2 linked regions of the Struthio camelus genome follow. The protein of the gene in region 2 purifies or fractionates together with the protein of the main gene of each other region. This does not show direct contact. Links are inferred from orthologs where the notes say so. Each region holds a gene or a part of one and is shown on either strand. Other genes may lie near its edges.

The links.
Region 1: the proteins of RRM1 (region 2) and RRM2B purify together in Homo sapiens (affinity purification with western blotting; 3 studies listed by BioGRID and IntAct, counting the BioPlex papers as one, with this or other methods). This does not show direct contact. The link is inferred for Struthio camelus from reciprocal best matches to the Homo sapiens genes RRM1 and RRM2B.

The regions. Positions count from the first base shown.
Region 1 is NC_090943.1:145,617,520-145,629,366, reverse strand, and holds the start of RRM2B (ribonucleoside-diphosphate reductase subunit M2 B), read right to left. Parts: upstream 5,171-11,847; 5' UTR 5,037-5,170; coding exon 4,977-5,036; intron 4,868-4,976; coding exon 4,712-4,867; intron 2,631-4,711; coding exon 2,514-2,630; intron 1,554-2,513; coding exon 1,420-1,553; intron 282-1,419; coding exon 187-281; intron 1-186.
Region 2 is NC_090942.1:224,376,031-224,388,722, reverse strand, and holds the start of RRM1 (ribonucleoside-diphosphate reductase large subunit), read right to left. Parts: upstream 5,903-12,692; 5' UTR 5,486-5,902; coding exon 5,467-5,485; intron 4,511-5,466; coding exon 4,422-4,510; intron 2,692-4,421; coding exon 2,514-2,691; intron 1,881-2,513; coding exon 1,780-1,880; intron 1,129-1,779; coding exon 1,069-1,128; intron 1-1,068. Other genes in the region: sodium-dependent proline transporter-like, read left to right, coding at 9,506-9,571, 11,908-12,091. UniProt on the Homo sapiens protein: Provides the precursors necessary for DNA synthesis. Catalyzes the biosynthesis of deoxyribonucleotides from the corresponding ribonucleotides.

The sequences.
Region 1 (11,847 bases), on a different chromosome or scaffold from region 2:
TATCTGAAGATTAAAACATATATGCTCACCAGAAGCTATTTCTAGTCCTTTAATTAAACCAGGAGACCCACAAAGCCACTGCATCACCTCTGGAAAATTTTGTTTCACATTCCAGGACTGCAGCTCACTCCCAGAGGTTTAGTTTGTGGCATGTGCAACAGAAACAACTTTTAAGAGGCTACACACCAAAAGTAGATTCTCTGTCTTCAATCCACTTCAGAGCCCAATCTGCCTTCTTCTTGACACAAGGCATTGTTTCAATAGCATTAAATAAAAAATCCCTATAAAAGGAAACAAATAAAACATCAGAGTAATCACACAAAAGTGATTTACCTGTTCTGGATGTCTCTACAGGCTCCAACAGGCAGTGGAACCCACCATGCTAGGCTCTGAACTAAATCAGAGACAGTCGTTACCCTAAAGACCGTGTGATCTCTGATAACAGGGCACAGACAGAAGCACATGGGCAGAAAGGGGAAGGGATCTACCCAAGGTCTCAGAGAAGGTGAGCTGCAGAGACAGGAAGCAAACACGGGCCTCCTACCTATCGAAGAAGTGCCCGTCCATCCACCAGGCCATGCTGCCTCTCATACTCCAAGCCAGCTGGTTGCTAGTCCCTGCTCAAGAAGCTAAACCTCACCTTTCCCAGTTCCATGAAAACGTCCATCTTTCCTTTTTCCACAAAAAGAACTGGACACAGCTCCCACAAGCGCAGTCTCTGTTCCCATGCTAAATAGCTGAAAGAAAACCTTGCAGCTTTCCCAATAGCCTTGTGCCTTGAGGATGGAGGACAACACTTCACCCCACAGGATGCCACTCTAGGAAACTGGGCTCTGCCTGCCCATTGCCATAGCACAGTCTCTGAGGGGAAGTGCTTCTTTTCAAAGGTATTATCATTTGGACTAGGCAGATCTCCAGGTGACAAAGGTGATGGGTCTCTCCAAAAAACTCAGTACTTTAAAATTAATAGCTCAAGTTGTATGGAAAAGCACCAACCATTAAAAAAAAAAAGGAAGTAATACATTGGTTAGCATATATTACCAACCCCAGTTGGGTAAAGAGCACTAAATTCATAGAGGCAGATCCTTTGCTGATGTGAGAACAGGCACCTCAGGAGCACAGTAACCAGAGGGGACTTGTCTAATCTTTAACAACAGTTCACACAGTCTGCATTTCTTACAATCAAAACCCTATACAAATATTAACTAACCTTCTCAACACTTTCATGGACTTTCGTTGGTCAGTAATACTTCTCTCCGTTTTGGGGGTCAGGGAGGCAGACCTAGAAAGCTTTAACCAACCGTCTCCAACTCCAACACTACGTCAATGTGAAACAGAAGGACGCAGCTGCTGCCCAGCCACTGTGCCCCTGGACTGGACAACATTTCCCACGGGTCTGTAGCACATTCAGATAATTACCTTTTCTCAGGATCTTTGATGTAAGTGTCTATAAGCAAGCTGTACATCTCTGAGTGAACATTCTCAATAAGGATCTGAAAGCCATAGAAACAACGAGCTTCTGGGATCTGCACCTCCTGACTAAAACGCGCCACCTACCAACAAAAAAAAGAAGCATACCAATGAGTACAGTAATACTGGCACTCTCGAGCCTAATAGGAGATATGATTGATCTTTACCACGGAGAAAGGATGGGGACATTTCAGCCCTATTTTATGAACAGCTATGTCACAAAGCCAGGTGTGGTGCAGAAGAAATTAAAGAAAGCAAGATGAAGTACATCTGCTATGCATACTGCATAGAAAAGTGCAGTGAAGCATGACAGCACACACACACACAGGAGGGGAACAGCAAAATATCGCAACAATAAAAACTTCACATCGAACAAAGCCTCAGACTTTTTGTTCATTATTGAAAAAAATAAACCATATGACAATGACATGTTCATAGTATGTGTGTATATATTTCATGACATATTCTACGTGTTCAAGATGCTGAAGATCTAAAATGAGTATTTCCACTCAGATACCAGAGGTAATCCGGGGATGAGACATACTGCATTCCAGAATTGATTTCAACAGAAAGAGGAGATTTCCCCAGCACTTCAGTAGCACCCATTTATAGCCCAGAAAGATTCCAGGATGCCATTTAGTGAGGGCAAAAGAGGTTTTACCAAAACAAAAAAGCTGAGGAGGGCATAGCTCAATTCTCCTCCTGCTTCTGCTGTAGCACAATTACATGAAGGAGCATGGAGTTTAATTAATTCATTGAGAAATGCAGATCAACACTGTCAGTCAGAAGGCTGGACTTAAAAAACTGTGTCCAAGAATGACATAATTTGGAGTCCTGCTGACCAGAGTTGACCTAATTTAATTCAGACACTCATCCTAGCAGAATAAGCTGCTTATTTCCCTTGGCAAAGGTGAGATGATGGTGAGAAGAAAGTTTACACATTCAATAACAAAATTATGGCACTGATATGAGATCACCAAAGTGAAAAGACGCTTGCTAATAAAAATGAGTAAGCATTTAGGCTCTCTGTAAAGCTTTCTCACCAGGTTTTCATTTACAATTCCATCACTGGCTGCAAAAAAGGCCAGAACATGAGAGATAAAGTATTTTTCATCTGCTTTTAGCTTGTTCCAGTGCGGCAGGTCCTTTGACAAGTCAACCTAATGAAAAGAAGAAGAAAAACATTACTACCCTTCTGTGTTTGTAATTTTGCAAGAACAAAAGCAGCATAGTCAAACCACTGAGGCAGGATTTTGGAGTCTGCTGTCAAATCTTTACTTATAAAGAATTTTAATACATGTAAAATGTACACCAGATACTGCAGTATCTCTGTTTCTGTAACTGTAACTTCATGTGACTGTTTTGCAGCTTACTTCCCCACAAACAAGTGTGAATCTTCTGAAACACATAGCAAACGTAAAACCTTTCAGGGTTCCAATCCTAGAAGGCCTAAAACTTCAGCAACAATATTTCTACTGAAAAAGGGATTAATTTACTTTTACATAGCAGCTTTCCACATTTTGGGAAATGATTTGGAATAAAAAAAAAAAAACAGTATTAATTTTTGAATTATAAATAAATCAGATTATGAAAAATATCAGTATCTCATTGGCATGAGTATGAACATGCATCAATACGCAGAGCTCAATCCGAGATGCTTTAATATTCTACTTGCAAAGAACGTTGATATTGCAAGAAACCTACAGCCAGGTGTGCCAGAAGATGCACTGAGGGCATTTCTGCCTTTGACAGGTGTTCACCCTCCATCCCTCCCAAGAACAGCCCTGGGCAAATGCTGTGTAACTGCTCTCCTCTAGAAGACTGAACTGTAGCCACGGTAGAAAAACCACAACTTCCTTAGCATAGGCCTTTTTTGTTTGTTTATTTGTTTGTTTTGAGGGAGTTTTGAACCACAGCAGCAGTTAAGTAGGGCCAGATGTGAAAACTATCAACGGACCTAAAAATGTTTTTATATATGTAGATATAACATACATGTGTTTACATATATAAGTATCTATAATGCATATATATGTAAATATATAGGTATAAAAATTTATAGGTCTGTCTGTAGTTTTCAGAAATACTATATATATTCATATGTATACAGCAGGTACACATGCGTGTGTATATACATATAGATACACACACATATTATATATACATACACATTTAATATTATATATATACATACACACATATACACACACACTCCCTATTAACTTTTCAGTTCAGCTGGGAATAGGCCGACACATGGTAGGGCAGTATGAGAAGGAACCACTAATACAGTAAAAGAGCAATGCTATCAGACAGGAGTTTAAATGCTTCTTACAGCTTAAATCAACTTCTAGTGACACAGGACAAGTTTCCCTGGCAGGGAATGGCATAACACTTCTACAGACAAACTCATTTCATCCCATTATAATTTCTGGCCTATTTAGAGTCGGTCGGTGATTTCAGTTTATCCCTCAGCAATTGGAGGTCACTGCTCACAGAAGACCAAAGACCACCGAAGCTCTGAGCTGAACACCCCACTCACCTGCAGGGGATCGCTCTAGCTCAGCACGGCGTTGCGAAGTCTCCGTGCAGCTAGCTAAGACAGCACTACTCGGGTCTGCCTAACCAGTGACCTCAGGGAAAACAAAGTGTCTTAACTTACAGTTTGCTTTATAATACAGGGATAGCATCTAACCAGGGTGCTCTGGAGTAAATTAGAGGCTTTTTTTTTTGCAGTGTCCCCAGTTATCATCACCTTTCTGGAAAATAAGTACCTAATTATGAGCATTCTCATAAAATTGCTCAGAATATTTTATATAGGCAAGGAGGTAGCTGCACTCTGAGAATCAGAACACTGAAGTTCAGAAACCATAGCACAATGTGTGTGTGTGGGGAGAAGGGGGTGTACACTCACACACACTCGCATATATATACACACATACACTCACACATACAGATCCTCAAATTTGATTTAGACTCATTCTATAGTCAGAAAAGAGGTTCCCTTGAATGCAATTCCACCTCAACCTAAACTGGACACCAAAAACACGTCAGCTGATTTGCCCTGTGGAAGTGTCTTTCTTTCCACTGACTATGAAGAAAGCCTTCCTCAGCTGCAGACACCTGATGTTCAATAAAATTAATTCCACCCAAGGTTACAAAACACAAACCAGCAGCAAAGCCAGGAATGAAATGCCAGGATCCCTGTCCAAGAGCCTTGCACCACCCCACGGGCCCCAGAGCTCACCTCTTCTGCTGTCCAAAAGGAAGCTTGAGCCTGTTTATACATTTTCCATATGTCTGGGTACTGGATGGGGAAGATGACAAATCGATGGGGATTTTTCCTGAGAAGGGGCTCTTCATTAGGTTTCAAACCATTTTCAAGGGCACCCGAAGAGGAGTTCTGCAGATAGAGCACAGTTGTGGTTAAGGGCACAGTTACTGCCTTCCTTCGGCTTCCCTGTATCATGACGGCAGGGCCTAAAAGCCATCCTCATCATGGAGACACTCACCTGCCCCCCGCAGGGGGTGACATTACCCTCTCCCAGGGTACTTGCCCTTTGGCCCTCCATATGCCCTCTCTGCGGCCAGGAACACTGCCTTTCTGCCTGGCACTATCTAGCACAATTTAAACATACTGTCCTCCTGCCAGGTGCCAGGAAGTGTTTGATACTTCGGTGCAAAAGAGAAAGTCTTTCTGCGGTAGGAGGAGGAAATCACAATTGCACTCAGAGCCCAGGGAGCAGAGAGCAAACACCGCGGTAGTGTATACTGCGGGAACACGTGCAAGGTCACCTACCACTAGCTGCCAACCATATCTATCCAGAGTTCACTTCCAAGGCTGTCTCAAATTAATTCAGCTGTTACTTCAAAGTTCTTAGGCCCACATGGACTCTCCTAAAAAAATTGTCATTTGGATCACAGTGATCAGTCCTGTCTTACACAAAACAGCTCTATCTCATAGCAATTCTCTTTCCCTTAAGGTTCACATAGACAATACAGTGATTTACTATGCCCTACAGCATCCCACAGGATGCAAGGCAGAGCACAGCCCACACGCTTGGTACTGTTCTGAAGTCCGTCCGGTTGCAGTCCTCCTTCCTCAAAACGCTGCCCCAAAGTAAGGTGTTTCTCCTTTCAAAAGCAGGTAGCACGAAGCCCCCACGCCTGGAGCTACGCATCCCCAGGAGGAAGTACATCGCACCGGCACGCACGCAGGCTCCCCATCAACTCCAGGGCAGAACGCTCCTTCAGAGACCTACGAGCCCAGCAGAACCAGAGGAAGATTGACACGTAGGAGATATGCCAGGGAACAGCAGCAAGAGCAGGGCCATCGGCTCCTGTGATCAGTGCCTAACACCATCCATGTGACACGTACCACCAAACACCTACTGAAGACAGATGTGGTGACAAGCTGTCAGGACGGTATGCTGCAACCTCTCCAAAAAGTGCCGTTGACCTCACAGTTATCATCAAAAGCTTAATCAGCAGGACACCTTGAGATCTGAGATCCTACTGACACAGCTGTAGAGGATAACTTACAATAAACATTATACAATGTATTATAATATAGCAGGGAAGGGGAGCAAAAGGTGTTCAAACACCACTGCTTCCACCACCTTAGGTACTGGCAAGGTCCTATCTCTACCCAGTCCTCTTGCAACTTTTCACACGCTAAAAGGTAAACCTTTAGTTCAGTTTGGAAAGTACCCCAAAGTAAAATAATTCTATCACTTATTGGTGCTGCCCACATTTAAAGATATATATATATATATATATATATATGTATATATATATATATGTACGTATTGCATGACAGGCATATTTACCATAGATTCCTACCGAAAATGCAGCAAAAACCATATCATGGTTTACAGTTTTACCAGTTTATTATATTTTAGGTTATTACTCAACTACATGAGACAATTCTTCCAACATCACCCTGCAGGGGCGCTGCTGAACAGGGGAGAGTTTCAAGCATCCTAGGGGACTGCATTCTGCCTCAGCGCTTATGCCCCCAGGGCCTGCCACACAGCTAGTCCTTCCATCTACTTCTGCATCAGCTGTCATCCCTGTGAAAGGCAACACTGTAAGGCTTCCTTATTAGTCCACTGTTTTCCTGAGCAAAATCCTTCAATATTGCATGGGGACTACCCCCAAGTATTAATTTTAGCCTAAGAGGATGCACTAGCAGTTACTAAAGCTACCTGAGCCATTCAAAAACCAGTATGCTGGATCCATAACATACAGAGATAATTTGGAAAACACTTTTAGCATGTGGAAGTACAGCAGAGCACAGAAAGAGCAAATAGCAATTCCAGTAAGGCAGGAAAAGTGAAGACTAACACTGAAGCAAAAAGTATTTGTGATTTTCCTTATGGCCTTTAGCTGCCACTGTGCCACAGGCCACAGACAGAGGGGCCAACACCCACCAGAAACACTGTCAATGCACAGTAAAGACAGAAAAGTAGCAAAAGATGAAAAGGTCCATGAAGCAGTGTACGCACCCTAACAGGAGGTCTTGATGGCTGGGAAGCAGAAGGATGGCTTCCAGGAGCAGACTCAAAGGGATCTTGTGACCCTGAGAAGGGCCACAATGCAGAACAATAAAGTGGTGTGGATTTAAAAGAATAAATAAATAGATAAATAAAACTAAAAACAAAGGAAGAGTCAAACCCTACAGAATACATCATACTGGAATGTGCCTCTCAACCCACCTCCCATATCATATAATCCCTGTTGGAGACAGAGGAGAGTTTTGCATGCCTGCAAACTCCAAAAAGGAGCAGGCATGTGCTGCTTGGCTCCAGAGCAGGTATTGCCTCTCCTAGTTTTGGGTACTATCCCTCTTAGCAAAGTTTCATCTCAGTAATACTTATTACCTAGTCTGTTTGTTAATCAGTACACTTCTTGGTACAACTCATCTGAAACCTCATGGAAGAAAATCCTCCTTTAGTTTCAGTTTCTGATACACGTCATGTTCTGACCACTGCTGGAGTTTCAGAGCAGTTGGCAGCCCTCACTGTAGGAGCACAACGCACTCCTGGTCCTACCTTCCTGGCTGGGGGCATTAGCAGAGATGGTCTCCCCAGTTTGCCTCCACATTCAGAAAGCCTATCTGCTTCCTGCTTCCATCCAGCATCCTGGGTGGGTTTGTCCTTCACCTCACAACGGTGCATAAAACAGAGCAAACATTCATCACAATACCAAAGAGTACCCAATCTCACAACGAGACTACGCTATTTTCCATTCAGTCAGCATGAGCCAAACACACATCTCCCAGCTATTCTGCAACTATTGGAGATAAACTTCTCTGCTGACGTCAATAAAACACCAATGCACGTACTAAGACCAACTGGTAGTACTAAAGTTGCTTCCAAGAATTTTAAATTCAGCAAACTAGGAAATAGTAAACATATGCATGTATACAACCATGACCCCACAGCAAAAGCTGTCAGGATGCATCCACAAGTACTTCAGCTACAGGTGTTAGTTATAGCTAAGGAAAGAGGAAAAGAGTAGTGCTGGCAAGGTTGGCCAGGTCCACCAGGGCCACAAAGACAGGCCTGTCTGGTAACGCTAAGGCCTTCCATTTATCACAGCTCCTATGGATGGGGAGGAAGAAAAGCTGACTTGCCTAAATTGAAGCTTCTTCCATCCGGCCCTGCAAATTCCCAGCTCACTCTGGGAAGCAAGGACTCGGGCAAGCCCAGGTGAACCTCAGCGAGACGACTCCCAGCAGAACATGGCGATGACATGATGACAGATAAAAAATGGACTCCAAAATCACTCTACATAAAGCAAGCTACAGGCGATTTTCAAGCTCCTATGTCCCTACAAGACGACAGGCAGCCCAGTTTTCTGCTCCCGGAGCAATGGCTGTGGATCTGAACAGATCCCAGTGCCTCCGGCCACCGACCTGCTGCACGATATCTCTGCACCTGACCTGTCGTGCGATACCTATTTAGGCAGTAAACTCTTCAGAGCTGGGGACGGCTTTTAATCAGTATTTGTACCACTGCAGAATAGCAGACCAACTTGCTTCGAAGCTCCTGGGCCCTGCTAAACTAACAGCAGATTGTGACCTCCTTGTATCTGAACGGGAAAGCAGGTGCCAACGCAGCTAGGCTCCAAATCCTGGATCACTGTCGTTATTTAGTATGCTTATTTTTTTTAGTACTCTCTGCAGTCGCGAAACGACAACTATCGCAACCCTCCCAAGCCACAGCGCTTGCCTCTCCCGTTTTTATCTCCTCTAAGCGCTCAACCACGTTTAAGTTTAGGAAGGGGGGGGGGAAGCGCTCTCCGAAGCACGAGGAAAGGCGACGCTGACCTGAGGCGCGCCGGCAGCCCCCGGGCAGTCGGCCCCCCGCGCCCGGCACCGCTCGGAGGCGGTGGCCCCCAAGGCCACCCCCAGCTGGCAGGTGGCCCCAGCTTTCAGACAGCCGGGCCAGGGCCTAGGGCCGAGGAGGGAAGCGGCAGGGCCCAGCCAGCCCAGGCCCCGGCCCCGGCCCCGGCCCCGGCCCCGGCCCGGGCAGGTCCCCCGGCTCCGCCCAAGGCCCCCACGGCCGCCCAGGGCCCCGCGGCGGCCGCCCTTACCCGCTCGGGCCCGGCCGCCTCCGGCAGCGCCGCGCGGCCCCGGCGCTCGCCCATGGCCCCGGCGACTGGGCCGCGGCGGCGGTTGAAGGGGGAACGGCCGCCGCCGCCGCTCCGCCTCCTCCGCCGCGGCGCCTCCAGCTGCGCCGGCAGCGCCGCAGCAGCGCGCCCCGCTTCCTTGCCGCCGTGAAGGCGAGGAGCGGGCGCTGCGCCTGGATAATCGTTTAAAAGGGGTGAAGCACCGCGGCCAGGCGTGGCCGTTAGCGCTGCCGCGGGCGCTGCCTTCCAGCAGCGGCGGGCGCCCGGGCAGCCATCACGGCTCGGGGGGGCTTGGGAGGAGCACGGTCATCTCGCGGGCCGCGCCGGGACAAGAGAGAGCAGGTGCTGCACAAGTGCGTGTCCCTTAGCAAGGGGGGGTGGGGGGGCGACAGGGACACCCGAATACATTCACAGAGATACACCATTTCAGACCCGCGTAGAAAAATCCGTAGCAATGCAGCGTGCACGACGCCCTCAGCGCGGTTTAGGGGAGCAGGCCCTGGCCGCGGTTCAGCCGGGCCCAGCGCAGAGCCGGGGCAGTTTGCTGCGGGCTCGCTCCGGGCTGCTGCTGCCTGCGCCTTCGCCCTGGTTACGGCTACGGACAGAATAACGAACGAGATAGTTGGCACGAACTGCAGTTCTTTTTCTTTTAAATAATTTTAAAAAAAGAGAAAAAAAAATTTTAGACTAGCCTAAGAGATGACAATGAAGACAAACTTGGGAGATTTGATCGTTTTGTTAAATTTACTAAAGAACACGTACAGCTTTGAACATAATATTGATAGCTGTCACAGATACAGGAGCTGAAGGTGGCCATAGTCACTCTAAAAGTGTATGAGAAAAAACAGTCTATGTACAGAAAAAAAAAAGCCTACAGGTTTTTCAAACCAGCCCTGGCTACTAGAGACACGAGAACGGCTTCCAGCTAATGGCTCTCATGCTGAGACATCTGTCATCAGTAAGACGTCCTTGCCTCTTTCCCTGGATTTGCCTGCACTGTCCTTTGAGCACAAGCAACGCTAATGACAGTACTATTAAAATTTGTTTTCACCACTCTCCAAAGGCGGTGAGAACAGGCCAGCGGACAGGGGAAGGGGGGGGGAAGATGGGGGGGGAAGAGGGGGGGGGAAGAGGGGGGGGGAAGATTTGGTGCCTGGTGTCCCACAGGGGAGGGGAGGCCGCAGACCCACAGGTGAGCCCTGCCCGCTGCCGCTCCATCCATGCGCTCCCAAATCCAAGCTGCAGCTGACCCACAACCGCAGAAAGGTACGCGCCAGTGATTCTCATACTGTTTTCCAGAAATTTAGCTTTTGTTTTGTTTGTTCTCAAGCATTAAGGATTTTCAGGTTTTGGTTTTTTTTTTGTTTGTTTGTTTTTTAAAGACTTCTCAGGAGTTTCAAAGCTGCCACAGAATTACTGAAATCTCCCCTCTCCAGTATGAGGTTTTTAAGCATGGGAACTGGGAGGTGGACCAGGTACTCAACTCATCTGGACCTGATCTGCACCCCTGGGGCTTTTTAGGCATCTTGCTGAGAGGAGTTCAAGTCTCACCAGGGACAAGGGCTTAGGAAAGTTCAGTGGCGAGATCCGTGCAGGGCAGCTGACTGGTCCAAAGCACGAAGAGAGCTTCATTTTTCTTACATCGAGTTTTCTGATGAGAGCAAACACACATGCCTAAGCATCACATTACTAAGCAGTGTACCAGAAACACATTAACAGTAAGAAAATGAGAAAACATGGTTTCATACAGCTAAAAGTATCTGCCATTATATGACTACTACTCTTTTTTGGTCAGCCTTTAATATGTATTACCCAAGGATATGCACACAAAATTCCTTAATATTCCAACTCACCACAGCTCCATACTTTAGAGCACTGAAGACTAACGGTTTCAATTCTGGTCCAGGGCATATGATTAGAGGAGCACTGCTACAGAGCAAACCCAATGGACCCATTAGCACTGACAGATTACTCTGGTGCATACAAGCTTGAGTGTGCTGATGGCCCAGTAGCTCATACATCAATCACCCCCTTAAAAATAAAACCAAAAAAACCCTACAACTCTGAAGTATATTAATCACACTATTTAATAAAATTGACCTGCTTATCAACTGTCTTAATCCCCTGCTTCTAACTTGATTAATCTGGCGGCTGGTTCAAAATTCTCTAAACAAGGGATTATCCTTTCGAGTATTTGTCACGATGTAAGAACTACCATAAGCGAATATAATTAACAATTGAATGGACTTCCAAGTATTTTGGGATAGCTTCTTAAAAACACACTTTCCCATTTACAGATGCACAGTAGGAGACTATTCATCTAGTGCCTAGTTTAATGGTATTCTATAATATATAGAGGAAGAGTACCACAAAGTAAACGTATCATGAAAGATGGAAGGATCAACAAAACTGCAGCTGGATGTTCTCGCACCTCCAACAAAAATCTGCTAACTTCTGCTACCTTTGTTTTATACGCCTTAATTACACAACAAACATGATACTGAAATATGGAAAAGCAGTTGCAGAATTTTAAAAGAGGTAGTTTACAGGCAAAATAAAATACACACGAAATACAGCACTATGCATAGCTTTGTAGGACATAAGATTACTCAACTGTACCTGTACTACAATATTTAAAACAAGCTCCGAGGGGGAGGGCAAAAGCTGTCTTTGATCTATAGCTCCCAGCCGCGTGGTGGTTCAGCGGCTGACCCACTCCATCCCAGGGGGAGCGACCCTGCGCTCCTG
Region 2 (12,692 bases):
GGACTGCTTGTGGGGGAGATTGTTCCAGCAGCATGGAAGACGACACAAACGCGTGGGATGACACACTGAAAACAACTGTCACACAAAACAACAGGGAGAAACAAAAATGCCTTTTTTGGATTATTAAGAATTAGATTATTTCCTTGAGGAATGACAGCTTCCAACAACATTCAGTACTACCTGTTGCAAAGGTGTTAGAGCTCAACAGCTGAAATCTTACACTAGCCAAGGGGCAAAACAGTTGCAGCCCCTTGAAAGAACACTGTCAGTAATCCCATCAGATAATTAGCTTCCATGCTACATCGATAGTTGTTTTTCTCCTGACAAGGAGAGACACCACTAGACATAAGGACTTTGGAGTCATTCCAAATGGAAGCTCTGGGTTTTGATGATCGAAGGGTTCTTGCTGTTCTCCCCCACATACACATCCTCTCACCTTGTATTCTCCTTCAGTAGTTTCAGTTTACGCCACGCACTTCCATCCTCAATCCCTAACTAAATTTAACTGAACTGTAGGTAGCCTGTGCATGACAGCAGAAGAGAGAACTAAGCATACAGGCCTGTGCTACACTAGCTGCACAGAGATCCTTTTTGGCTCTTGCTCTCTGCATGGGGTTACAGAAACAGGGTTAGGAAGACTCCCGTGAGGTCATTCTGTCCCTCTCTCTGCCCCAAGGCAGCTTTGGGCCTGCCTGATAAAAATCCACATAGGATCACCTGGGTTCATCATGCCATAAGGAACAACAGGAATATAGCCCACTACTTCTTGTCTACACACTCAAGAGTTTTCAAAAGCTTTTGTGGCTGACAGAATAAAGAAACAAACAGAAAAAAAAAATCACATCAAGATGTGCAGCAAAGCCAAGAAGAAAGCACATGGTTCACGCGCCCTGGCAACTGCTTTAGGCAGGTACTCATTTTTACAATCCCACTAATGTCCCAACTACCCCAGTGCTCTCCTTGCCAAATCTGGATGATTCTGCAAGGATTATCATCCCCCTCAACAGGCTCAGCTCTAAAACAACATCAAAACAGCAGTCTTCATATCATGAGAAATGTGCTTTTTACCTTAAAACCAAAATAGTTGTAGGAGAAGTCTCTATCATAGATAATGGCAGAATTCAGGCGCTGAGAGGAAAGAACATGGATTTATATTTACGTTCAGATTATTTGTGGCTCATATTTTCAGTATAACAATGCTATCATTGTTCTGCATTTCTAGCCTCACAAATCCAGCGAAACAGATATTTCACGCAGGAGGGAATAAAGCATGGAAAAGCACTTAGTCTGAAACAACAAATGCACAGTTTTAACGAACTTTTTCAAATACAATGCACAGTCATTGGCTACATTTTGCTGAAGTCTCTAACTAGATACTAAGAAATAGAAGATAGAATCAAAATGTGAATGTGCCTTCTCAGTAAGAGCACAGGACTTGCACAACTTGAAATTAGACACCAAACCTCCTCTCTCCCTTCTGTGCACACAGAAGAGGTTGCTACAACAAAAGGCACTTTTTTGCAGAGATCATGACAATGAGGACATCTAAGAAAACAGATCTTGCTACAGGAATATCTTGCTGCAGGAATATCCTTAAACGAAGGAAATTCCAACACCTTTTCTCCTACTCTCCAGAACAGAGCAGTTATCTTCACTGGTTTTCTGTACTGGCCTTTTGGGGCTAAAACAGACATTGCTTCCATAGAAATAAGAAAAATAAACTGTCTAAACTAGTTCACTGAATCTTCAGAACTTTAGAACTGGATAAATGTTACATACATCTTTGTTGGCCAAAACTATCTCTAGAGTTTCTTTGGAGATCATTGGCGAGTGCTTCCCATTATGAGGGTTTATGTAGTTGTAGAGATCATCCATCACATCTACAGCAGAAACGTGTTTAAAAAGAGAGACAAAGCAAGTCACCCACAGACATACGTTCACATAATTTGTCATTAATTTTCAAGGATTTAACCAACAGGACTACTCAGCCTCCAAAATAACCCCCTCCAGCTCTACATGCACACAACCTCTCACCTTCATAACACAGTCCAACTTATTTTCTACCTGCTCAGTGCTATTATTTTCTACTGACCTTGAAAAAGCACTTTGCTTAGAATATTTTTTAATAGAATTCATCATTCGGTGACAGCTAGAGAATTTCTGTCTAGCCAACAAAGTTCAGCAGGCAATTCCACTTTAGAGGCAATAAGCTTTTCAAATTGATTCTCTTTTCACAGGTTTAGAGATTTTGTTTTTAAAGTGTGAAAAGAAAGTGGGTGCATCCTAATTTCAATCAATTACATTCTTCAGTCTCTTTTATACAGATATTTTTCGCAAAACAATTTGATTTTCCTTGCGACATGCATAAAACTGATGTTTTTCATTCCCTTGGCATTTTTAGTTGGCCTAGGTATTTAATTTCTGCTAATAAAGAGCTTTACGTATTTATATCCTCCAGAACTCCTACTCCCTTTCTGACTAACTGCTCTCCACACGCCCCCAGACAGACTTACCACTGAATACTTTCTTAGTTTCTTTGTGCAAATTGGACACTGCAATTCTCGCTGCCAGGATAGCATAGTCAGGGTGTTTGGTAGTCAGAGTCGCAGCCGTTTCAGCAGCCAGCGTATCCAGTTCCACTGTTGTGACACCACTGTATAGCCCCTGAATTACCTTCATGGTGATCTGGGCCTGAAACAGCAAAATTCTGCAGATTAGCAATCTTTTGTTTAAAAAAAGAAAAAAAATTTTCAACCATTTAAAAGAAATAAAACATGCTTCGCTATAAGGGGTACCTTTCATTCTGTCTGAACAGCAAAGCAAACTAAAATACAAAATCCTCTTGATAAAGTACTGATTCCTAAAGTTTTTAAACCAAGAGATAGTAGGGCCAGAAAGACAGCAGGGAAAGAGTGAAGAAAATACAAACTGTCAACACAGAATCACCAAGAACTTTCTGAACATAGACACTTTCCTAAAGGCTCGCATAAAGTAGCAGCAAAGTGCATGGAATAAAAGTCACATTAAAACTTTACTTGCCTGGAAGTTTTAAAACTCCAAATGAGTTTAAAACTTGACTTTGTAAATGCCTGATGAGACTTGGAATCTGTTATACTTTAAATTTTATGATGACAAGAGCAAAAAACTCCACCCTGGACAAGTCAAAAAGGATTTTGCTTCATGGCTTAACCTCATCTTCATCTATCCATTGGGACCTTTCCTGGGAAGAGACTTCTGCATCTGCTGCTTCGAGAATCTTCTCTGCTTTTCTCTCAAGCATTTAGTGCTGATCACTACAATCAGCATTTAGTGCTGATCACTACTGTAGTGATCAATATCACTACAATAGTGATATTCTACACTGAAGAACAGAGGTCTGACCTAACACGGTAACCGCCACATACGTTTGAAGTGCCTACAGCCTTACGAAACCAGCACGTGTAATTTTCAAACTTTACTCTCTGTAAGGAAGCATTCAGATTAAGAATTTTTGTTATTTCCTTGTAAATCATCTGTCATGAGAAGTTCTGAATCCAAAAGGAGAAATCCAAGTCCAGGAAGAGATATCCCACACACTCCCGCAGAATAAATAAAAATACATTGCTTCACGTAAAATTAGCTTTGCTATTAAGATGAGGGTACAAAGAGTCAGGAAGCCTAGGGACTTTATTTCTGTCCTCATCATCAACTCCCTCTGTCATTCAGATCAAGTCAATATACTCTCTATTTCAGCATTACTTTTTTGGTACAGAATCAATGTCAGATATTTTACAGATGTAATTGAAGACAAGAAAACAAATCACAAGATCTTGGAGATGTGAAGAGCCTAAGTTGACAACTCCAAATGAACAGACTAGCTTTGCACATCGGCGTAAAAATCTCACAGATGTCAATGGATCCACGAGGCTGTGGAAGGAGAAGCTCGTAGAGGTGGGATTACTAAGCACCCAAAATCATAGACAGCTCGGAAAAGTAAAGTAGGGATATAATGGCAGGGGAGTTCCGTCACAGATAAAGGGCACCTTTCCATTTTATTAAGAGAGGACCAAGATTTATTTTCCATACAGCATTGTTTAGCTTTGCAAATTGAAACAGAAAGCAATCAACTAAAATATGCGAGCTGGAGCAACAAACAACTCAAAGTACAAGAAGCATAATCACCTCCCTCAAACCCAGTCTCAGACTTTGTACTTGTGAGGCAAGAAAAACCCCAAAACACAAACAGCTAGAAGAAACACATTATGGAAAAATAGAGTAGTCAATGTATTTGCCAACAGTTCCTGCACAGGCTGCCGTGCTTAGCTTTCCCTTTGCTAAAAGGAAGGCAAAAAATGGATAGCACCTGCTCAAAACTATTGGCTTTTAGCAAAGATCACCACAAGGGGTAGAGAACAGGAAAAGAGGAGAGAGGACAGACTCACTGGATCAACAAAGTCAGCATTGAGCCCATAGCATAGCTTCTGGATGCGTGACGTGATCTTGTCAAACATGACACGCTCTTGGCGTCCATCTGTTGAGGAAGAAGTTACAAACACAACAGCTCCCGTTACACCAAGAAGCAGTTAAAAACAGTATCCTTCTACCCAGGAGATCACACAATAAGGAGCCAACTCTCTTCTGCGGGAAGTCAGGGCGGGAATCACCAAGGACTACCCGTTTAGGTTTCCTGTTCAGGCTCAAGAGGAAGGGAAAAAAGGTGGCTAGCCCTCTAACCCCCTACCAGAGGTGTCACCCCACACCCTGCCCCCATGGCCTGGACAGGGATCCCCCCACCACGGGGTCACCCCACACCCTGCCCTCCACAGGGACCCCCCCCCCACCACAGGGGTCACCCCACAGCCTGCACCCCACTGCCTCCACAGGAAACCCCCCCCCACCACAGGGGTCACCCCACACCCTGCCCCCCCGCTGCCTCCACAGGGACCCCCCCCACCACAGGGGTCACCCCACACCCTCCCCCCCGATGCCTCCACAGGGACCCCCCCCACCACAGGGGTCACCCCACACCCTCCCCCCCCACTGCCTCCACAGGGACCCCCCTCACCACAGGGGTCACCCCACACCCTGCCCCCCCACTGCCTCCACAGGAAACCCCACCCCACCACAGGGGTCACCCCACACCCTGCCCCCCCGCTGCCTCGACAGGGACCCCCCCCCACCACAGGGGTCACCCCACACCCTGCCCCCCCACTGCCTCCACAGGGACCCCCCCCCACCATAGGGGTCACCCCACACCCTGCCCCCCCACTGCCTCCACAGGGACCCCCCTCACCACAGGGGTCACCCCACACCCTGCCCCCCCACTGCCTCCACAGGGACCCCCCCCCACCACAGGGGTCACCCCACACCCGACCCCCCCGCTGCCTCCACAGGGACCCCCCCCTCCACCACAGGGGTCACCCCCACGCTGCCCCCCGCGGTGCCCCCCGGGCCGCGCCATCCCCAGCCCCGCCGCCCGGCCCCCACCTCGCTTCACGACGTGCATGGCGGCGGTCGGCGTCCCGGCGCGCGGGCTTTCCAACGGCTCCTCGGCGCCAAGCGCGGACTAAACGCTTCCCGCTCCCGCCAACTGCGCTGGCCCCGCCGCGCCGCCGTAGCGCTCCGCCCCCCCCGGCTGAGGCCGCTGCCGCCGCCATCTTGGCTCCGGGCACTGCCGCCTTTTCAGCTCCTTCCCTCACCACCGGGATTTCACGCGCTGCCTCTAACCCCTTCGCGGAGGCTCATCCTTAACTACATCCCCATCCTTCCCCCTCTCCTCCCGGAAAACACCACCCTAGCAGCGGCAGCCGAGTCGTTTGCCCGCTTCCAAGATGGCGACCGACCTCCCACCCTCTCCTTCGAGAGCGGCGGCGAGACGAGAACGGGCCGTTTACGCCAGCCCGAGGGCGCGACGTACGGAGCCGCCGGAGGGACAAAATACCCCCGTTTTGCAAAAAATAATTACAACAACGAGACTACCGTTGTAGTAATAACAACAATTACGCTAATTATGCCAAAGCAAGGCCCAGGCAGAGCATTCAGTGCGGTTCTCCCAACAAGGGGCGCCTGCACAGCCCCTCTCTGCCCACAGAAGGCCCTTGCCGGTGAGGGGCCGGGGCGAGGACAACGGCACATGGACGACCGCCGCGTCCTGCAGCCGCCGTTTTCCCCCCAAAACGCGGGAAACGCCCCGATTGGCAGCGGCGCCCGCCCGGAGGGGACAACGTGGTGCCCTCGGGTGCCCCGGGCCTGCCCGGGCAGGGCGCCGCCCCGGAAAGCTCACCAGGTTTCAGGTGATGGTGGCACGACCCGTGAGGAAAGACGGGCGCTGCGGGGGACGTCGGTTGGCCCCGCGCCGACGCCGACCCCAAACGGGCGGTTACCGGCGCGGGGAGACGGACGCGGTGGCAGGGGCTGACGGCCCCCCGTGCCCTCCTCGGCAAGGGTGAGACTCGGGAACGTCTGGACCTGAGCAGGAAATGACAGTCCATTTTGGGGCCATTTTTCTGCGTTATGGGAAAAGACCCTACAGGATTAAAAAAAAAAAAAGAAGAAAAAAAACAGCATTGTGGTTTATTTGAGCCTTCTGAGTTGCGCTCGCAGCTCTTTGCCCTCAAGTTCTCCTAGGTTTTGCTTTAGGACCACTCTTTTTCACTCTTTTTTTATTTGTTTATAAATAAATATATATTTTATAATGCATATATATATTTTTATATATATATATAATCTATATAATCATATATATTACATATAATATATATTTATATTTATTTTTTTATAAATATATAGATAAATGTGTGTGTGTGTGTGTGTATGTATATTTTATATATATTATGTGGAAGGCCGGGCCTCCCGCTGGCCTGAGTCTTCCCCAGCTAGGAGACTACCTCTGGGCTAGAACAGCGCTCCAAACTAAGGCAGGTTTGTTTCAGTGCCTTAAATGCATGTGATACGAAGAGGGGGGTCTACGGCGCCGGGGATGAGGGGGCGGACGTGCAGCGGGACGCTCAGCTCCCAGCTCTCGCTGACGCGCGAGGTCGTGCCGAGGATGGAGGGAGAACGGGGAGCCTGAGCCCAAGCCCAGCGCTTGGCCTGCTCTGCGGGCACCGGGGAGGCTAGGCCAGCTGGAAACGGCGGAGGTTTGCGATGTGCTCCTCTACAGCGACGTGCTGTGTGGCGTGGTGATGCCAGCCCCTCTTCTGGACCAAGGCGTCCAAGCCGTCCCTTTCAACAGGCCTCTTTTCCAAAAAGACGAGTCAAGACCCCATCAGGCCTCGTTTCTAAAAGAGCCACTGGTGATACTGATGGTTACAGAGCTGACTGCATAAGCAGCAAAGCTGCGCAAGTCTCGAGTTCGCGTCTTCCCTCTGGATGAGGGGAGTCACCCTGGTGCTCCCCACCCCCCGAGGAGCCCTGTCCCAGCCAGGCTGTACGTGTCCTCAGGAGGGAGGCTCTCTCCACTTCTCCCGATGACCATCTCCTGCTTTCCACACCCCTGTTGGCTTCTGTTGTGTGTTCGGAGGTCATCTGCTGGACTGGGACCTGCAGAAGACGTATCCCGAAGATCTTGAGAGCGCTGCAGTGCCAGGCTGTGCCAGCGGTTCTGGTGCACGTGCAGAGCTGTGGGGCTTAAGAAACGTTACTGGCCAAAGCAGGCAAACCATGAGGGTGAGGTGGAGGCCTGGAGTCATGGACTTAGCTGCATGGAGGCGTCTTAATCCTACTAGGGACAGGGAGCCCACCCTGCTCTGTGGCCCTGGCTCTGGATGCCTCTAGGCTCTAGTGGAGGCTTTGAGCATTTTGTGGGATAACTAAGGGGATCTAGTCTGTAAGGAGAGAATACAGAGCCTCCTCCTCTTGCTTGTTTGGTGTGTCGTGGTACACCGTGCTGGGTTCTGAGAAAACTGATTTCCCAACTCTGATTGATTATTGCTCCCTCACTTGCCTTGGGACAACTGTTTGCAAGGCTGTGCCATAAGCAAGACCACCAAAATTATCCACGTTAAACATGCCTCTTTCATTCCACTCCTCTCTTGGGTGGCATTACTTTTACTCTAGCTCAGTTCCTTGACCCAGAAACATCCATAGAAACGCTGTTCATTTGAAGGTAGTCCCTGTTGTAAGCTCGAGGGCGTTGCACCGCCGCAGGACCGCAACTGTGCTCTGGCAGATGGCGTGAGGTGGAGGCAACCGCAGTCACCACGTGGCGTGTCTCTTTCTTCCTTTGGTTTTCTCCCATGATGAGCTTCCTTTTCCTCCTGAGTTAGATTCAATCGCAGTCACCTCCCCCCCCCGCCCAGAGACATGAGTTTATAGCCTTTCCGAGGGAGTCACGAGCTGAGCGGAAAAATGGGCAAGTCAAGACCCAATCCCACTCTGCAGAAGTGTTTTGTACTGAAAATAATGTTTCTGCTTAGTCCAGATTAGAAATCTGCCCCGTTCTCCGCTCTCCCTTCCCTACTGCGGTGGCGGGGGATAGTCCCGGTGGAAGGGATCCTTCCCGCTGCCGAGGAACCTGCTCCGCTCAGAGATTAGGAACAGCTGGCTCCAGATGCAGTGTCATGGAAATGGCCAAAGAGAGGCAGGACCAGCGCATCAATCACAAAAAAAAACCCGCACGCAATATTGAGGGACACACAGAAGGTGGTGTGCGTTCCCTGGAAGACGCAGCGGAAAGGAGGTGGAAACGTTAAGAGCAGAAGACAGGTCAATGGCTGGTAGAAATACTGACTCACTCCTGGATGGATCACAGTTTTAAGTCGAGCTCTCTTTCAGCAGCTGCTGCTACTGCCGAGGCTGAGCCTGTGCAAAGGCAGCAGCAGTCGGTCTCCCAGAAAACCAGCACCGCTATTTCTGCTCCTTGCGCAGCTGGCCAGTTTTCCAGCAAACAGGCCAGGAGAGCACAGACTGGTGTAAGGGAGAATAGGGTGACAGTAAGGGGTGTCTTTGGGGTTGCACCCATCCAGGCTGACATGGAAAGGGAGATGGAGCCGTTTCTCAAATTGCTCCTTCCTTCCACCTGGCAGCTTGGAGGGGACAGCGGACTGCTCCTATCCCGTATCGCTCCTCCGTGTCCCTCTGCACCGAGCTCCCCTTCCTCGCGTCCCCAGACCTGCTGGGGCGGGAGACTGGCGCCGTCGGCTCCCTCCTGCAGCAGGCTGGGGCTGGCCAGCTGGGGACGGCACCACGGCGCTCGCTGCCGCGTGGGACAGCCCCGGCCTCGCCGAGAGCCCGGCAGGAAAACCACGTCCCAGCAGAGGCTTGGTGCTGAGCGGGGCCTCCCCAGTGCACACCCGGCACCGAGCGAGCCCGGGGGTCCCGTCCGACCCCAGCCCCGGCGCCGAAACTCGTACTGGGCGGGAGGGGGGGGGTGATGCCTCCGGTCCCTCCCGGCTGCCAACCCCGGTGGGACAGAGGGTTTGCAGGGGGTGGTGCAGGCTGGGGCTCCCGGGGACCGTGGCCCGGGGCGGAGCTGCACCTGGCGCAGGTGAGCCGAGCGCCGGCCCTCCGGCCCGCCGAGCAGGAAATGCCGTGCACCGGCCGCCTCGCCGCGCCGGGGCTCCCGGCCCCCGCCGCACCGCCGGAGCCCACGGTAGGACGGGGCCCCCGCCGGGACGCCCCTGCCCGGCAGCGCCGGGGCTGCAGGTGCCCCCGTCCCTGGCGCCGGGCGCTGCAGCGTGCGGGTCTCCCTGCCCAGCCCCGATTACGCGGGGAGCAGAACTGGGAACCGCGGGGCTCGCTGCGGCACTTGGTGCCTTGGGCGCTGGCAGCCCAGGCGCCGAGGGGATGGCGAGGCTGCGGGTCTCCGTCTGGCTCCGCTGCCCTTGCAACTCCACCGCCGTGTGGCAGTGCAAAGGTCAAAGTGCCCTTTCCCCATCGCGGCCGGGTAGAGGTCTCCTTGCGGAGACCCCCGGGGCTGCAGTCTGGCAGAGCTGCTGGGATTTCAGCAAGCGGCCGGAGCCTGGGCACGGGGCAGAGCGCGGTGCCCCCCGCCTGGGGGTGGCCCTGCATCCCGGGGGTTTGGGCGGGCGGCGCGGGGCTCACGCCGAGGGCGGCTGGGGGCGATGCTTTGCAGAGGCCAGAGCATCGCTGCAAGGGGCTGGCATGACCCCGCCGCTTCCCCTTCTGTTGGGGAGGCAGCCCGACGGCTCACGCTGCAGGTCGCCTGTCTGCAAGCTGCGCGGGGCCGGGGAGGCCAGGAGCAAAGGGGGTCTGTTGGGTGCACGTGCGGTCTGCTGCCTTCCCAGCCCGTGCCGCTGACTTCCCTTGTGGGGAACGGCCAGAGCAGAGCAGATGGCCCAGGATGACGCCCTGCGAGGGGTGCTTTCCCTGCCACCACTCGGGACAGCAGCCTCAGGAGGCTTTTCTGCCTCTGATGGCACGGCCAACCCACACCGCCAGCTCCCATCGCCTGCGGGTTGGGTCTTTCAAGGCTGCCCCATCACGCTGTCCGTGTGCTGCCTCCTGGGCAGCTCGCCGCGACACGCTGCCAAGCCACCACGGTTCTCCTCCGGGCACCACCGTAAGCCCCTCTGGGCTGCCACCAGCTGGGCTGAAGCCCTTGCCTTGGTCTGCCTTGCCTCCCCGCTTGCCCGCGGTGAGCCGACAGCGAGTGGTGGGGCTGGGGCGCTCACGCTGCCGCGAGCACGGCCGGGCTCCAGGCTGTGCCGAAGGCTGCCGAGCGCTGCGGCCGCTCGCTCTTCCTCGGCCCCATCCTGCATCTCCCTCCTGAGACCTGGTTGCATCTGCCAGCATTTGCTGTGGGCAGGGGCGCTGGGAGCAGATCCCGCTGACCCAGCAGGTAGACCAGATGTGGTGTTCAGGGTATTTGCATTTGCAGATTTTAAGCAGCTGCAGTCCTCTGAAACATGACTGGTAGCGGGTGACGGCAGGAGGGCTCAGCTGAAGCGATAAATGTGCTACCTGCCTTTGCAGGCTCCCATCTGGAGGCTCCTAGGTCTCCTGGCTGCTTTGGGTGTGTGAACAAGGTACCTCACAGCAGCCCTGCAGGAGAAGGGCAAGAGTGGTCTCTTGGGCCAGGAGACTTGCCCAGAGGGTCCTTGAGCGCCTCTGGGCAGTGTGGGACCAGGACAGCGGGAAGCACCAGAGGCTGGGGGACTGCAATCTGTGCTTGGAGCATGGGGCAGCCGTTGCGCAGCCGGCCGGGTCCATCAGGACTTGCTAGGTCTGCGCTGACACTTGCTGTGCCCGGGCTGCCTCTTGTAAATGCACCTGGCATCTTTGTACCAGGCTTCCTGGTGGCCAAATAGCTTTGATACAGTGCCAGCTGCGAGGCAGAGCCCATGGTGAGCCAGTACCCGTGGCACAGCTAATCTGCAGTTCGTTTCAATGACCTGCAGGTAATCCAGATTGATTTCTGGTATCTTATCTGGAAGGAGCATTTTGAGGCTCTCTTTGACTTCTGGAGGAAGCAAGCGCACCCAGGTGCTGGCACGCCTAGGCTGACATCCCCTTGGATCAGGTCCCTGGAGGAAGCTGTGCTCCACCTGCGGACTTTGCACACGAGCAGACATCCCTGCGCCCTGGGCCTGTCTGTGGCCCACAGACTCCTTGCAGAGCACATGAGCCCCAGCCCATCACACGCGGGTGCTTCTCTGTGTCGGGAAACAGGACCCATCCGCGGTCAAGGACCGCAGGAGCGTTGGCTGAGGCTGCAGTGAGAGGCAGCAGGGCGGGTGGAAGGAGCCTAAGCGATGTGTCCCATCGCTTTGGGGAACGTTGCTCTGCTCGGGGTGGCCCAAGGGACTGTCCTTAGTGAGAGCAGAGGTGGAGGGCAGGGGGTAGCCCAACCGCAGGGCTGCAGCAGGAGACGGCGGAGCTCAGCTGAGGCCAGGCTCCTTTGGAGAGGAGGAGGAGGAGGAGGAGGAGGGCGGCGGGGGCCGGCTGACACCTCTCCTGCCCGCGCAGGTGAACATCTTCCAGGCGGAGAGCCCGGGACCCCCGGCGCAGCCCCCCGGCTCGGCCCCGGCCCCCGGCCCGCCGCGGGCCACCTGGGCCGGCAAGCACGAGTTCCTGCTGTCCTGCCTGGGCTACTGCGTGGGGCTGGGCAACGTCTGGCGCTTCCCCTACCTGTGCTACCGCAACGGAGGGGGTGAGTCCGCCCGGCACGGCCGCCCGCGCTCGCAGCCCCTGCCCGGCCCCGGGGGCCCGTGCAAAGCGCCAGGGGGTTATTGCAGCACACCCCGACCCACGCACACGCGTGCACCCTTGCCCCATCCCGCTCCCCCCCCACCCCGGGGCCGGAGGTGAGAGGGGCTGGGGCCGGGCTCGGCCCTTCCCGTAAGCCGGGGAAAGGGATTTTGCCCCCGGGGCAGGGCTGGCGGCGGGGTGCGGGGTGCTTCAGGCGGGGGGGGGGGAAGGGGCTGGGGGAAGGGGGCTGCGGGCAGCCCACGCGTGTCCGCGCTCCCGCCGCCTCCCCCCGGTGCTGCCGGCAGCCCCAGCGGTGGCTGGGTCAGGAAGGGGGAGTTTTCGGGGCGCACGGGTGCGGCGACGGGTGCCGCGGCCGCTGGAGGTCACTGCCGGCTGCGCCCGCGGGATGCTTTCGGCGGCCGGTAGAGCAGCGGCAGGCACCAACCGGCGGTGCTTGAGCAGAGCACCGACGCGCTCGCGGCACTGGTGGGTCCCGCAGCCGGTCCCCCTCGGGGCTGCCCCCCCCCCCCCGCCCCGGTGCAGCCTCCCGCAGGGATGCTGAG